Linked DNA regions of Astyanax mexicanus. The protein of the gene in region 1 interacts with the protein of each later gene in a pairwise test. Links are inferred from orthologs where the notes say so. Each region holds a gene or a part of one and is shown on either strand. Other genes may lie near its edges.

Region 1 (8,137 bases):
TATACGTTTTTACATTCTTCTTGTTGGAAGCTTACGAAAACATGTTTCTTTTTTTCTTTTTCATTTCAATAAATAAAAGGGTCTGAAAAAAGTTTTTTTCTCTCTCAAAATATTATTAATGTCATAGAGGGTTAGTTAACTGTCTAGTTAACATTACATGCACTGTATACATGAGTAACTAGCAAACAGTTTAGCAGTTTTGTACCATTTTTCTGAGAGTGTAAGGCTAACACCATGTCACAAAACAGTAGAATTAGAGTAAGACTTGTTGATGAATGGCTAAAGCTGTTTTTGTTCTCTTTTTTTTATATTTTAAATGTTTTGTTGATAGTAAATCTATCTAGGTTAGCTAGATTAACAGTGATGAAAAAAGGGGAAATGAGGCAGGTTTAAAGACTCACCTAGGAGCAGGCAGAAGATGTCTAGAGCTATTAAAATTTTCCTCTTGCTCTTGTTCATGCCAGTGCTGCTATTTAACGTCGCAGTTCCACCGTTTCTTGTTTCGGGTGCCATCGCCTTCTCATACATGTATTTTGGCATGTGAGAGCTCCGTCCTCCTGCTGTACAGAAACCTCAGTCCACACGAGCACAAACTCAGCTTGCTCACTCAGTCAGTCACTCAGATAAAAAGATAGATAAATGTAGAAGGTAAGATGGGAGGCGAGGTCCGGCTCGTTTGAGGAGAAAAAGTCCTTAAAAGTTGATATTCAGAGGAGGAGTGAAGTCCTGCTGAATGTTGAACCGTTGAACCGGTGTGTAGAGTGAATAATAACCCGCCTCACGGTCACCGTCTCTCGGTCTGTGGGATGAAGACAGCAGCCCCCCGGTCAGTGTGTGTTTTCAGTCAGTAAGTCAGTGAGTGGAGGAGAACTTGAGTCCACTTCTCTAGTGTTGGAGGGCTTTCTGAGGGGAGAAGAGCGAGAGCGGCGTTTTAAAAAGCGCAGGAGCTTCAACTCCAGTTTTAAGACTCCCTTCCCTCGTCTCCTCCTCCTCCTCCTCCTCCTCCTTCTCCCTCTCTCTCTCTCCGTGTGCAGCAGAGAGAGCTTCAGCAGGCTCAGCCCCCTTCCTCCAGACCCACCTGCATGCTTATTATTATGCTCAGCCCTTACGCTCCGAGCCTGCAGCACGCGCTCCTCCTGCCACCCGTATTCAGGCAGGCCCCGCCCTCTCGCTCTGAGACTGAGTGGAGTGGAAGCGTGTCCTTCTGACTGTCCGCGCTGCGATTGGCTGGTAGCTCCTGCAATGCTGCAATCAGGAGCAGAGTCTCGAATCGCCTAGCCAATCATTGCGCAGAAGGGCGGGGCTACACGGAATACAGGCGGTCATAAAGCACTGAGAAGGTTAGAGACAGAAAGAAAGAAAGACGCCAAACGAAGAGCTGAACTCTTCTATTCTGAACAATATATTCTTTATACCCGAGTTTAACGACGTCTAACAAAGCTCCACACACACTTTTCTTCATATTCTGATGATGAAATTTTAATACATGTTTTAATTCCTTGATCTTATAAACTGTTTTGCTATAAATTGTTGTGAACCCTTTCCATTGTGTGTATGTTTTATTACGGAGCCCCTAAAGTGACATCATGTAAAAAAAAAAAAAAAATAATAATAATGCGTGGCCATGCCTTATTAAGGCATGAAAACGAGATCCTAAGGCGTGGGAACCAGATAATTAAGGCGAGGGAACGAGTTAATTAAATCATAGCCAATAAGGCGTGGCCAAAAGGTCCTTTTGTTTCATAGTTAACAAAGCGAGCAGCTCTCAAGAGTTGACTGAGCCCGTCAGCTTTTAGTGTGAGAATTAAGAGTCCCTCGCTACCTTTAAGAAACTCCTGAAGACTGAGCTCTTCAAAGAGCACTTACTACTTCTAACCTCATTTTCTGCTCCCTCTTTTTCCCTCCTCTATCCCACTATTTCCCTTTGGCCTCCTTTGGGCCCTGTCTTAAATGGGTTTTTTTTTTGTTTGTTTTTTTTGCCTTGAACTTCTATGTCTTCTATTACTAAATGTACATCACTATTGTAAGTCGCTTTGGACAAAAGCGTCTGCCAAATGTAATGTAATGTAAAAAATCTCTTCATACTTTGTAAGTGGTAGTTATGCAGCATGTATTTTTATTAGAGGTGTAAGGAAATATCAATATCAAAATATAGCAATAGTTTGTTTTGCAAATCGGTATTTATAAACAATAAATGACCAAAAAACAACACATTTCTGAATGTTCGTACTGTTTTACTGTTGCAGTATTATTGTGAACCCTTTCTCTGCATTGTGTGTATGTTTTATAAATCACACAATCATATTTTAAAATATATTCAAACTTTGTTGTAAGTGATAGTTATGCAGCATGTATTTTTGTATTGTACAGCATGTATTTTTAATGTATTGTAAGAAAATATCAATATGAACGTATAGCAATATATTGTTTGCAAATTCATATTCAAAAACTCAGTATTGACATTTATTTATTAGTTCAAATGTAAAGATTGAAGTCAGACAGTGGTTCATTTTGCCTACTTTTTAAGCCTCAACCACTAGATAGCAGTGTTGTACTTCATTGCATTGTGTCATTCTTTTTCTTATCTATACTAACGCACTAGTATTTTTAATTGTGCTGCATAATAAGAATGATATAGTAGTTTTTAAAATATTTTAAAATACATTGTGAATAAAATAATTAAACCCAACATGCTGTTGCATTCACCGATATAGAAATGAGGGAGGAGAAGAGAAAGGCAAGAGCAGATAGTACTGTTGTGGTTTCTCTATACAGAACTAGTCAGTGGTATTTTGCCTGAAATGTTCGCCTCTGGTTTTCTCAGTAGTAATCCTACTCCTCCATCTAGTGGTCATAATGGTTCACAACTGGAATATTACTGACACTGCTTTTTATGAAATTATATCAAATTAACTCACTCATTTTTTGGTTACATTACTAAATATAATACACATCAGTACATTTTATCTTCTATACACGCTTATTCTGCATGGTACAACAGATATTATACAAACTCTTTTACACAATCACACAGTTTTCGTAGAAGTTAAAAGTCTTCCAGCTGTAGTTGGAAATCATTTCCACTCTTCTCCACAGATGTCCACTAATATACACAACACAAGGCTGTTTGTTGTTGATCATTTAAAATGTTTTGTATGTTCAGGAAGTCCACCAAAAAGGTTTGAAGTATATTTTGTATCTTGTAGAAGCGTCTTGTTTAGTTTCAGCCTTTTAATGGATAGTCTGATGTTTTTTGTTCCAAGTCCAGGTTCGGTTCACTGTGACCCGCTATAACATTAATACAACAAGCCTGATACTGATTATGTACTCTTTGCGCCGCCACAACATTTCTGATCATGAGAGGCATGGGCTCAACAAGACCTCAAAAGGTCTCCTAAAAAAATCTCAGCATGGAAAAATGAAGAAGCTGATAAAGCTAAGCTAGCACAGGCTTTCCTAAAATACATACATTTTTTTAAATGCAGCATCAAGGAAGGTGTGAAATGTTTAGATATATCACAAATGTTAACACAACCTTAACTAAAAATTCATCATTAGAGCAAATAAGCTATTCACAGGATGTTTAGGCTACTAACAGTGCTGTCTCTACCACAATATGAGTACAGTGATTATAAACCCAGTTTTATTCTGCTGTATACTATAACAACCCTCAGAAGAAGCAATTAGTGTTCACAAATACTGATAAAAATCATTGGTTGTAGGCAGTAGCTAAAATTAGCCACATTGTCACACACTCAGATGGCATTTGGCTCTACAAACACTTGTTTAAAGCAGACAAACATATAGCTCTGTCAGTATGGTTCCAGACCACAGGTAATCATTACATTACATTAGTAATAGATGTTCAAGGTTAAAAAACAGGGCCTAAAGGAGGCCCCAGAAAAATAGTGGGAATCACTATATCAATCACATGGTGTGTGAAGGAGAGCTGGTCATCAACCAGAACACTCAGGTTCTTAGCAACCTTTTTAGGGAGAGAGAGAGTGAGTCAATGGTTATGGTAAAGTTGTGTTGAATAGATGGTTTTGCTGGTATAACCAGATGTTCAGTCTTGGTCCTGATCAGTTTATCATGGAAGAGAGAGGGGGTTCTCCAGCTGTAACACTACATTAGAGGCAGACGAAGATATTTTCAGAATGTGAAAATTCAGAGTCTGACACTGAGTTTAATGTTCAAATAATGGGTATTTATGACAAAAAAAAATATTACTTATTACTGTTACTGGAAATCACTCCTGTTACTGATACTTATTTATGTAACAGGGATTAGTTTTTAGCATACAATTAGCAAAAACATGAAAAATAGCTAAATGGTGGCTATGCTAATATCATGAAGACACTGAGCACATTATAATGATTTTCCTCAAAGTTCTGCCCTGGGGACAGAAATGGCATCCATTCGGTCGAATGGCCCTTATATTTCTTGGCCAATTGGGATGAATTAAACTTCTACTCAGTATTTTACAAAAAAATGGTTTGATTATTTGAATTAAAAGCCCTTAAATGCAATGGGTTCACCAGCAGGGAGGAGGGAGGACTCCCTGTGTAACAAAAAAACGAAGACCCTGTATAGTTTAAAGTAAAAAATGTAAGGTGAACGTGGAGAATTATACATATTTTGGCTTCACCTGCATAAGAGAGCACGCTCATGTTGTAAATAACAGTTTTACAGTTTTTATCTGAAGGGACTATAGTGAGAAGGTGTCTGTGTAGCGTGCTTGTTATGTTGTTGACACCATGGCTCCTCCCCTATTTTCCACGCTCTCTCTCTCTCTCTCTCTCTCTCTCTCTCTCTCTCGGGTCTGACCTATGATCTGTGGGCTTTGGTCGGGGGTCTTAAATTTGAGGCACATTTCTCCGGTCATGCTGATCTGAGGTCGGGTGAACCTGAAGCCGCTCGCGCGCCGGGCGGAGCCCCGCCCCCCTCCTCTCGCCGGCCGAAGCGAGCAGCGAGCTGCTGCCCCGCAGAGTAAAATGGCCGAGAAGCAGAAGCACGAAGGCCGGGTGAAGATAGGACACTACATCCTGGGGGACACGCTCGGAGTGGGCACCTTCGGCAAAGTGAAGAGTTAAGTGTCTGGGCTGTGCTCTGGCTGCTCTGTGAGGCGGCGGGGCTTCGGGTTGTGGAATAGCGGCTGTGTGTGTTTTTACCGTAACCGTTAATAACGTTGAACTTGCCGGCGGAGAGTTTACGTAGTTTACGCAGCGAGTTTTCACGCAGTTCGCTACGGATTGAACGGCTCTGGAGCAGAGAAGTGGCGTAGCGCTGTTGGGGAATAAGCCTTTTTACGAGTGTTAATGCTGCGTTACTCTGGGGCTAAGTTTAGGGGGTTGCAAAAAATGCACTGCACTAAATAACAAAGCCTGCGGGCGCTGTTACTGTACATGCATGGGCTCGTTTATCACAGGATTATCTGCCTAATAAATGCATACCTTGTAATTTGCAGCAGTTGTGAAAATTAGGCAAATTGTGTGTTTATGTCGTAGCATGTTTTATAGCTTTATGTCTGCAATACCAGTGTAGACAAAATAGTAGTAATAGCTAGTTGCAGTAATATTAGTATTAAAATATTACTATTATTAATAATAAACGCTTCTTTCTTGATCTGTCAGTAATATTTTGTCTACGTTGTTTTTTATTTTTATTTTTTCCCCATAAACCTAACTTACATTACAAACAATACTGTTATACTGTCCTAATCTTATAAATAAAGGCATGTTGACAAAACAATAGGTCCAATATGTCCACTGTAGATTTGGTGCTATCTGTGTGTGCTGGACAATGGTGTGTTGATTTCATGCTAAAGGGTTAGTTAATTAGCACGTGAGCTAACAGCTCTTAATGCTGATGCTATTCTCATAGGGTGTGAGCAGCCCCTCAGTGCTGGTAATAAGACAGTAATAAAGGAGATGAGATCAGAGTAAGATAAGAGCAGGAGGACTGGCATGGTGACCAAGCAGCCCTTTATTACCCCCAGCTGGACATCCCATTAAATGACCTTGAGAAGCAGTGAAGGAATTTGGGGTCAGTTTGAGCCACAGTGTGAGTGGCTCCATGAGCTAAATCAGCTCCACACATCCACTCCCCTGCTCTTTAACAATGCATCACAACAACGACACCACACAGTACTGTGCCCCACAGGATCCTGTACTGTATCCATTGTTTGTTAATTAAATGTACTCTTAACTGCCCTTATACCTGAAGCTGTTGTTAAACTCTGTAATTTCATTGTGCTAGTATCTCACCTTGTTTCATTAAAAAGCTCCTTCTGTAGAAACAGACCCGCAAAATAAGACGATAGCAACTCTGCTCTGAGGCAGAAATATGGTGTAATGAAAAAGTGACATGCATTCAAGTGCAGGAAAACCAAAGATTTAAACTGTAAAGTTATCCCCTCAAAGTAGGTCTGTACAAGATATCATTTTAGCATAATCACAATGTTCACATGCACAACAGTCCCATCGCAGGATGCATAATGTCACATTAGGCAAATTTAATTAAGTGCTAACACCCCCTAACTTTCCCAATATACATCTTACAGAGGCAGATTATGTCTGCCTAAAGAAATTATTTTATTCCAATCTTTGTCACAAAGTATATTATTAACATTGTGATACATTGGATCATTGACTTCTTGTGACTTCTGATGAAAATTCCTGTATTTTTTAAGATCACAATATATATCATAGAACAAAAAAATATTGACAGTTTCAGCCAAACTTGTGTATCCCTACCTCGAAGGGTAAAAATATGACATCAAAAGCCTTTAAGCTTTTTTTTTGTGCAACCCATTTAAAAGGGGTTAAATTGTTGCCTTGCAGGAAAACATAATTAAATTACATTAAACATTAATTTAAATAACTACAAAAAGTTAAACTAGATGTTTTCTTATCAATATGTTATTGGTTCTTTTTTGCATCACAGCCAATATTTATTACAACAAAGCTTTAAAATGATCTGTTTTTAATTTAATCAATTCATGTAAGATAAGTATCTCAAAGTAATGATATTACTAATATTATTACTATTATTACTAACTAATATTACTAATATTACACTTTTTGATACTCTTTGAAGCTCTTTTTGTTTGTTATATCTGATACAGCATTTTCTGCTGATATTGGCCTGATACAAATACACAATTCTAATGCTGTGTACCTATTAAACACTTTAAGCTTGTATTCCTGCATCTTGTTGCTGTTGTTTTGTTAATATTTTCTATATATACTGATGATTTTTAGGCATACCGTAAAACCAGAAATTGGACTGCCTGTCAGACAGTGTCAGAGTAACAGAGGCAGTGAGGTAGACTCAGTCAATTCTGCATGCCTGGGGTGTCACTGGAGTTAAATGTCCAACCAGGGACACATTTGTTCACAAGTTGAGGGGCGTGTGTTGCGAAGGACGGCTTACAGGAAAGCACACCACTTTGCCTGAACATACTTTCACTGCATAAAGGCAGGGGTAGTAAATCCTTTTAGCATTTATGTGGTGAACTATAACTATTACAGTTTTTTCCCTGAGCATAGTATTTTTCTTTTACAAAGCTTCTGTCATTATATGAGATATAAATACTGTGTGAGGTCATTATTACTGTTTTGCTGTTAGTTTATACTACATACCAATACCTGTAATTACATAATTACTTACATACACAATTTTATGTTGTGTTTCACACCTGCACATCTGACTTTTTCCATCTTGTTTTGATATTAAATGACAAAATTACTGCACATTTAACAGTAGTTTATCAAATTATATTGTACTGATCTTTTCTCTGCTTAGAAGCACAATATAATTGGGTACTGAATGTGTGGAACTTTTAACTAAATGTCCCACTGAATTCAAAGAGTGTTAAGAGTGTGACAAATAGCATATTTATATTCATTATTTCACAAATAAATATCAATATGCTTTTTGTTATCACTAGTGAATATTGCAGCCTCTAATGGTTAACAGTATAGAGAATCTGTTACTGTAACTGGTGTTATAAAACAAACTGCTGCTGGGGTGTCATGGCACTTGGTTTGTTTTTTTTTGGCTTCACACTGATCTTTCATCAGCTGTGTTATAGGAAACGGTTGGTGGTCTTGTTGCAGCTGAGGTTTCATTGGTT
Region 2 (8,178 bases), on another chromosome or scaffold:
TCACTGAAGCTAGATCCCTCTGAGTACAGACAACAAACAAACGATATTACTCTAGTATATGGGCTATTATTATTACCAGCACGTGCTAATGTTTATTTACGCCATCTTAATAACTTTCCTTAATAACATCTCCATGATTGACATGATTGGCACACCCTGCAACTCTCCCAGCAGGTCCAGAGTGGCGTGCATAAAGACACACAGTGGCTATGACCAACAGATAAGAATCTAATACAGCAGGCTCACCTTGCACTGCCAGCCTCGGGCCTCCCGGGTCCGCGTTCACGAGCTGCTGGGGTCGCTTCTGCTTGCGGCGCGACATGATTCACAGCGAGGGCGCGCGGTGTGAGGGGGGCATCCGCCAACTTTTTCACACGGACGCGGCGGATTCCTAAACAACAAAGGAGGCTCTTCCTCGCCTGCGCTCACCTTGCAGAGGGACGCGCGCGCCGAGACTGCTGTACTGTAAAGTCAGCGTTAATTTACAGCAGCAGCCGCAGCTCGAGCGCGCTGTGTTCCTAAACTAAGCAAACTGAGAACCAAGGTAACTAATAACTAACTGGCGGCGAGTCGCAGACCAGCACAGGAGCGTGACGTCCGCAGTTACTGCGAGATTTGGCGAGTGCGTGTGTGGCTGTATTTCCTCAACAAGTCGCCTCTTTCTCAAACTTGCCCACTGTGCACCCCCCCCCCAAAACACACACACACACACACACACACACACACACAAATACAATCTCTCCTTGTTCTTTACTGACATTTGCATTTCAATGGCGTGGAGCACCGTCTCTTTTTCTTTCTCGCTCTCTTGCATTTCTCACACCACCGAGCCATAAAGCAATTAAACACAGTCTCTCCTTAGCGTGTCTGACAGCAAACTATAATAATTATGTTAGTAGAATCACATAAATCACACCCTCTACCGAGACAAGTCAGGTGTGTTTTATTTTTTTTGTTGAGAAATTATGCTAGAAAAAAAGCAAACTATATATTGAAAAAATATATACAGTGTTTATAAAACATGTTAGCACATTCTCCTTGGCATATCTGACGGCAAACTATAACAATTATTTTAGTAGAAATCACTTAAATCACACATCCTCTAGTCAAGTCACGCGTGTAAAAATATTATTAAATATAAAAAGAAATAATAAAAAATACAGTGTTTATAAAGCAATTAAACGCACTCTCCTTAGTGCGACTCAATATAAACTATATATAATGTCCCAAACACTATTAAAAGCTTTTCAAGAGTACTTCAAAAGCTAGAACCATAAACCTAGCATTTAGAACACTATTATCCAGATAAAACTGCTGCATAATATTTATGATTCATTTAGGGCCTACATTAGTTGACATTTTGTCCTAATATTATGATTCCTTATATGACCATATGTCTCTATTATAATGTTATAAAGTTATACACTTTTGCTTGTTTTTTTATCGAGCTGATATAATGTGTGACTTACCCTCTGAGATGAACAAACTGATGTCTATCTATACAACAGATTTAACAACTGGAACAGGCAAAGAACTAGCTAAGTCATTCAAATGATTCTATGACTAGTCATAAGAACACCTGAGGAATCACGTTTAAAATGCTTATTCCACCTACGTTGAAAAAAATACACTCTTCTGTAGACCACAGGGTGATAATCTTTTTCTTTTTTATTTCATTTTACTTAGTTCTAGGAATCGTTCAACCACAAGTCAGTTTAAGCAGGGAACTGATGTGGGAATTTTCTCAGTTAGTAGGTTAGGTGTTATTGAGTACAGTGTTATATAATTAGGCTAAATGATGATAAACTGAGGTTCTGTACAGAAAGACACAAACAACACTCTAGCTGGAGACAATAGTGTAGAAACTTTAACTTGCATCTCTAACTATTCTCATGATAATGATGATACGATTCTGGACGGATTTGAGTCTGATTGGGGGTACATTATCTAGACCCTGTTCAGGAACTGGCAATCAATGCGATAGTATGCCATATCTTTATAAGTGGGCGAAGTTATGGGAGAATGGACCTCCCGTGGCATCCTCCCAGTGTTGGTGTGTCCGCATATTTGAAGCTCTATTTAAAAGCCACTGAATGGACGGGAATTTCCAACAATGGCGACCTGGACACAGTTGAGTGAGCATCTCTCTCCCTCTCTCTCTGCGCCCCGGGATCCGATGCTGCCTCGCACAAAGCCCCCCTTTCACCTCGCCTGTACTCCCATGCACCACGTGGAGGACGGATGGAGGGAAAAGCCATTTTTAATTAGATGTATCACACACGCCATGCAGCTACAACCGCCCAGGCTAATTTGTACCCCCTGTCTGGCAGAGGCAGCTCCCTGAAACGAGTTCATTAAAGTTACGTTACGAATTGTCATGTAGGCTACATACGAAACACTATATGTCCAAAAGTTTGTGGACACCCCCTCTAATAAATGCACTCAGCTGCTATAAGTTGCACCAGTTGCTGCCACAGCTGTGTAAATACACACACAGAGTTTGTCTAGTCCCTGTAGAGAACCTTTGCCAATACAATAGGACTCTCTGGAGCAGATAAACATGAACCGACTGGCACCATGCCTAATGCCAGGCTTAAGCTAGAGGGGTATAAAGCCCCCCAGCACTGAGCTGTGGAGCAGTGGAACTGTGATCTCTGAAATGATGGTGCTCCATTCAACATTTTTGGGATGAGCTAAAAAGTTGAGGAAGGGTGATGATCATCCAGCATTCTGACCTTCTGACCTCAATATATATCTGTATTGCTCTTCAGCCCCACAGCAATGATCCAAAATCAGCTACACCAACAAACAAAAGATACATTTTATTTATTTATATTTGTAATTATATTAAAAATGAAAAAATAGCAGTTGTCCCAATACATTTGTTTATTTAGTGTGACAGACAATACTCACAGAAATTAGGCCACAACTAATTTTAGTGAGGTAGTTCCCAGTTGTGAACCCAAACATAAAGCATGTTCAGGAGATAAAATATGCCTTATCTCTCTCAAACATGCAACAAAACAGTGTACAAGACCCTGCACATTCTGGAAGGCTGCATGAAAGCAGTATCATACAGTTCAGACATTCTTATAAAATATAAATTGGGAAAAAAGACTAAGAACATTGGCAACTTTGTAACCTATAAGAGAAAATATATATCCTAATGGCTTACCTATTAAAAGTTTGAATTATAAAAACGTGCACACTTCAGAAAACACAAAGTGTTGGGGAACACTTTTAAAGGTGCCCTTACATTAAAAAATGAATATGCTTTTAACTTACCTTGTTTAAGCTTACTAATGAAAGTGTGATATGTGGAACCTGAATACCACAAATCTCAAATACCTTGGGGTTTTATTTCAAAGCAAACTACATACATCCAGCCCACTAGTGAAAGCCTTTTAAGACTAAACACAAAACCTACTTTGTGAGAAGTGAACCCTAGTGGATGCAAGGAACCCTAGTGAACCCAAGGTAAAGCACCTTGAGAGAAGGATTGAGGAAGCACCAAAGCAGGTATGTCTCTGAAGGCCAGGAGGAAGCGCTGCAAAAACAGTGTGATATACAAGGTCCAGAACATCAGTCAGGGGAGAACAGGTAAACTGAGCGGATGCTAGCTGGATGCTATGTTACAAACTAGACCTACTTCACCATTAAGGGCCAGCTATCAGTCTTCCTAAAACAGTATGAGGTATTTTCAGACATCATTAAGAATGAACAGCCAATAAATTGATCAGTTCATCAACAGATCAAAACTAAGTAGTCAGTAAACAAGTAGCACTTAAATTTAATTTAACAATTAAAAAAAAAACTGTGTTAAAAACGATGTGTCAGTGAGTTTGGATTACATTTTTGGGAGAAAAGGAGAATGATGATGCATATAAAAAATAAAAAGTGTGAGTGTAAGTAAAAATATTTGGCCTCAAATCAATAAAGTATTGGAAGTAAAAGCTGTATTATGGCTCTAATGTCCTACTATTCTTCAACTATTGGACTACTAGCCTGCTTAATCGGCTTATATTTGGTAAAAAAGCCTCTAGCGTCACTTCTAGTTCATCATTTAAAAGTATGTCATTAATTTGTTGGACACTACTGGCTATTACATTTTTTTTTATAAAAACAAAACATTAAAGGCAATCAATTTTCATTAGGTAGAAACAAAAGGGCTAAAAAAAATAAATAAAAACAAAGATTCGATTTAAGATTCATTATTTACCTTAGATACAAGTGCAGATTTAATAAGCATGCTTTACAAATGAGTTTAGCTTACTTTAATACATAATTTATGTAGGCATAGGCACTCCCAACATTTTCTGTCCCACTTATGTTTAAAAGTATGTCGAACAGGTCAATATAAGTTAAAAACAAAGTGCATACTATATTACCTTTATTTGTGCGCTTGCTTCAAGCTTCTTTTGTTTCGATATGTTGCATTTTCATGCATAGATGACAAAACTAAAGTACTTTCTTTTCCAGATTTTTGATATATGACTTTGGAGTTAAAGTAAAAACGAAAAACCTACTTAAGTACAGTAACTATTCACATTTACCATGTTACTGTACATTTACTGTAAACTTACTGTACTGTACAACCCTTTTATTTCAGCCAATCACAGAAGAAATCGCAATAAATAGACCCCGCCTCCATTCTCTTTGTTAAAGCACATAAACATAGCAACTAGCCACCAGAGCTAACCTAGCTAACTAGCTACCTTCTAAACGAGCTCACTAAAGAATGTCAGGTAACGGTTAGCCAAAAAGCTCTTACATGATTAAAGACTCAATACATATAAATAATTACAGCCACATATTAAAATACGTTATACGTTTTATGTTGTCAATTAACTATGTTGGTTGGTTTGTTTATTAGGCCAGGCTAACTTTAACTACAAACGTAGCTAGCTATTTGTGTTACTTGGCTAACTAGCTTGGTTAGCTAACTCGTTAGAAACTAGCTAACCAGCTGAGTTAGTTAGCTAGCTGAATAGCTCCAAAACGGCGCTGAAACTAATCGTAGTTCTGTTGACATTTCCTGATATTTAACGTAATTTTATCATAATAACGTTAATAACAAAATTATATAACGTTAATTATAATTAATGTGCTCTTTGTTTTAGTCATGTCCAGGTTCGACTACAGTTTGCTCTGTAATTTCCCGAAATGTCGAGCCAAACTGAGCGGGTTCGCCTGGGTGACGGCCTGCTCCCATGTCTTCTGTGATCAGCACGGCTCTGCAGAGTTCAGCCGGACTCCCGCCATCTGCCCCGCTTGCTCCTCCACACTGTCGGGAAAGCTGGACATTGTACGCACGGAGCTTTCTCCATCAGAGCAGTACAAGGCCATGGTTTTAGTAGGATTACGACCCGAGACAGTCCTGGATATCAGTCATCGAGCACTGGCGTTTTGGACGTATCAGGTTTGCCCTGTATTTAAATTCACGAACCTGAACTGATGCATTGCTTATATACACACACAGACTCAAAGGCTACTTATATCAGCTATTGGGTCAGTACTCACCTGATACACTTATAACGTGCTTCAGGTAAACCAAGAAAGGCGGCTGATGGAGTGCAGTTTGTCTCGGGCTGAGGTACAAGTAGTTCAGATGGAGAAGGTGATTGCTCAGCAGAACCAAACCAGAGAGCTCGAGATAAACGCACTGAGAGAGGAGATTGCATCACTGAACAAGGTTTTTTAACGTTTACTTAATTCAGTTAGCTAATTTACTGTTCATTTTATTCTTAGTCATAAGTAAGAGGCAGTTTCCCATGCAGGGAATAAGCATAGTCATGGACTGCACAGCATTTTAAATAGAGATTAGTCTCAATCCCTGGCTGGGAATAAATTTACATTTCTGACGTTTATGACTCGTGTGGTAATTCCAGTGTTTATACCAAACTATACTACACCCTAATGTATTGGACAGTTTGAGCGGTTTCTAGACAGGTGTAACTGAATCACATAATGCACATAAAACAGTCATTGTGGAACAGCCAGTAGAACAGTGTTCTGCCCAACCCACCCCACTGACACCTATACAAACTCTGCACCCAGCACTTAACTTTATACTGCATCAACTAGACTTTCCCATATTATCCTACATACAGCATTCTGCACCCTGTAGTTCCCACACAACATATTCTGTACCTGCACTTTACTCACAGCTATTCTGTCATCTATTGGACAATCTCCTCACTTCCACAAACACACTCTCTAGATATCTGCACATCTATATGGCATCATATATTTATATATTCAGTCTTACTCAGCATTTGTAAGTATCATTTACCAGAATCTTGTAATGCACTTAATACATTAATGAGTATTCATTTTTACTACATGTGAATTATTTCCTAGTTAATCAAACTCTAGTTATTATTATAAGCACTGCATACTGATTCTGAATATTATCTCCTTATGTCCAGAGGCTGGTCGACTATAAACAAAAGTACAGTGAGGTTTCAGAGCTTTTGATTAAGAAGAATAGACAATATCAGAAGCTTCAGGGGCTGTTTGAGGCATTGCGGCTGCGTCCCAGGTCAGCTGGCTCAAGAGATGGACTGCACCATGCATCTCAAGCCTTTGCCACAGGTCAGTTTAAGCATTGGTAAATTGAAAACAGACAAAAGCAGGTGGGTGTAATAAAGAGGGAAATAAGAATGGGAGCAGATGTGTGATCAGTTGTATTAAAGCTAAAATTTACAAGTTTGGATCATGTTTTACAGGATAATCAATTTTAGTGTAGAACAGAGTAATATATAGTAGATAATGACATTGGTCCTTTTACTTTCTCCCTGTAGGACTGGTTAGACAGCACTCACCCCATGGCAGTCCTCCTTTCCTATCTGTGGGATCAGAGGGTGACAGGCTCTTTTCTGTAGAACCAGAGAGCTTTAAGAGCTTTTTCCAGTTTAATTCTTCTCCAAGAGACAAAAGTAATTCCTTTATGAAGAAAAATTGATTACAGTGCAATAATGTATGTTGTGACATGCATTTGTAGTTTCCCCATATGTGATTGTCCAAGTAATTTACATGTGTATATTTTCCCTATGTTGAATATTTCAGTGTTCTTTGGGTTACCTAGTATGTACAAATAACAGAGCAGTTAAAAGTAAAAAAGAAATCTACAGTATGAATATTCCTAAACTGGTAAAACTGTTATCACATACACATGCAAAGTAGGTATTAGTAAACATTTGAATACATCGATTTCTACCAATTCTTCAATATTTCCACTTACCTTAAGATGTCATATATATGGTGCTTTCTTACATGTTTGTCCACATAATTGTAGTGACATATGCTACGACAAAAAGTCCTGTTTTGTACTGCTAGTTGCCTGGATTATTCATAAGGTAGTAAGAAAAGCATGATTGTGTAATAGTTTCTGTGTGGACACCTTTGTAACAAAACCTACGTTAGGGCAGTGTCCAAGAAAGAAGAAGAAAAAATAAGCCTAGTTTTGGACTATACAGCACTTTGAATGTAGATTTTCAATTAAAATGGAAAAATGTTTACAACTAGGCTTAATTAAAATTGCATACAATAGATGTCTCTGTTGTTTTAAATGTTAGATAAATTAAAACAAACTAGTCACTTACAGGAAACTGATAGTAGTGGAATTTCTGTGTAAAAGCTGAAATTAAAATGCTGTACTCATCAATGTGTCAAATTTCACAAATTACACCAAGGTTTCCTTAATCTCATTAACAACTCTTTGACAAGTGTGTCGGGAGCACCATTGGAAGAGTTTTATTTTCTGGACTTCAAATGCAAAATAGGCAGCAGCAGTATGTTTTACAAACATCCACCAACCTCAGACAATACAAACAAAAATATATTTATATATGTACAACCAATATAAACTAAAACAGTAAACACTATATACAAAATGAAAAGACAACAAAAACACCCTTCCTTTCACCATAGTTCTTTGTTTGCACTGCCCCTTTCATTCAGTGTGTGGTTTGTAACTGACAGAGGTTGCTGTTTGGCTTTGCATTGCTTGTCTCTTTCCATTGACAATGAGCAGCAGAGGAGAGTCCACGCGTATACTCCGGAAATCGTAAGACTGCAAAGAGAAGGTTTTGAATTTGGTTTAAGTTCAAATGTTTATGTACACTGCAACACAGACTGAAAAGTGTAGGAATGCATGTACCTTATCATTGTGTGTTA

The links. The genes of interacting proteins can lie anywhere in the genome.
Region 2: the proteins of prkaa2 (region 1) and E3 ubiquitin-protein ligase CCNB1IP1 interact in binary tests that used the Homo sapiens proteins (3 or more experiments, as listed by UniProt). The two-hybrid records come from large-scale screens. The link is inferred for Astyanax mexicanus from reciprocal best matches to the Homo sapiens genes PRKAA2 and CCNB1IP1.

Annotation. Positions count from the first base shown.
Region 1 is NC_064408.1:61,610,180-61,618,316, forward strand, and holds the start of prkaa2 (5'-AMP-activated protein kinase catalytic subunit alpha-2), read left to right. Parts: upstream 1-4,831; 5' UTR 4,832-4,994; coding exon 4,995-5,088; intron 5,089-8,137. Other genes in the region: plpp3 (phospholipid phosphatase 3), read right to left, coding at 402-540. UniProt on the Homo sapiens protein: Catalytic subunit of AMP-activated protein kinase (AMPK), an energy sensor protein kinase that plays a key role in regulating cellular energy metabolism.
Region 2 is NC_064415.1:23,510,570-23,518,747, reverse strand, and holds E3 ubiquitin-protein ligase CCNB1IP1, read left to right. Parts: upstream 1-4,656; 5' UTR 4,657-4,738; coding exon 4,739-4,745; intron 4,746-5,120; coding exon 5,121-5,419; intron 5,420-5,545; coding exon 5,546-5,692; intron 5,693-6,428; coding exon 6,429-6,594; intron 6,595-6,803; coding exon 6,804-6,964; 3' UTR 6,965-7,208; downstream 7,209-8,178. Other genes in the region: si:ch211-212k18.5 (sal-like protein 2), read right to left, coding at 247-322; ttc5 (tetratricopeptide repeat protein 5), read right to left, coding at 7,955-8,074, 8,162-8,178. UniProt on the Homo sapiens protein: Ubiquitin E3 ligase that acts as a limiting factor for crossing-over during meiosis: required during zygonema to limit the colocalization of RNF212 with MutS-gamma-associated recombination sites and thereby establish early differentiation of crossover and non-crossover sites.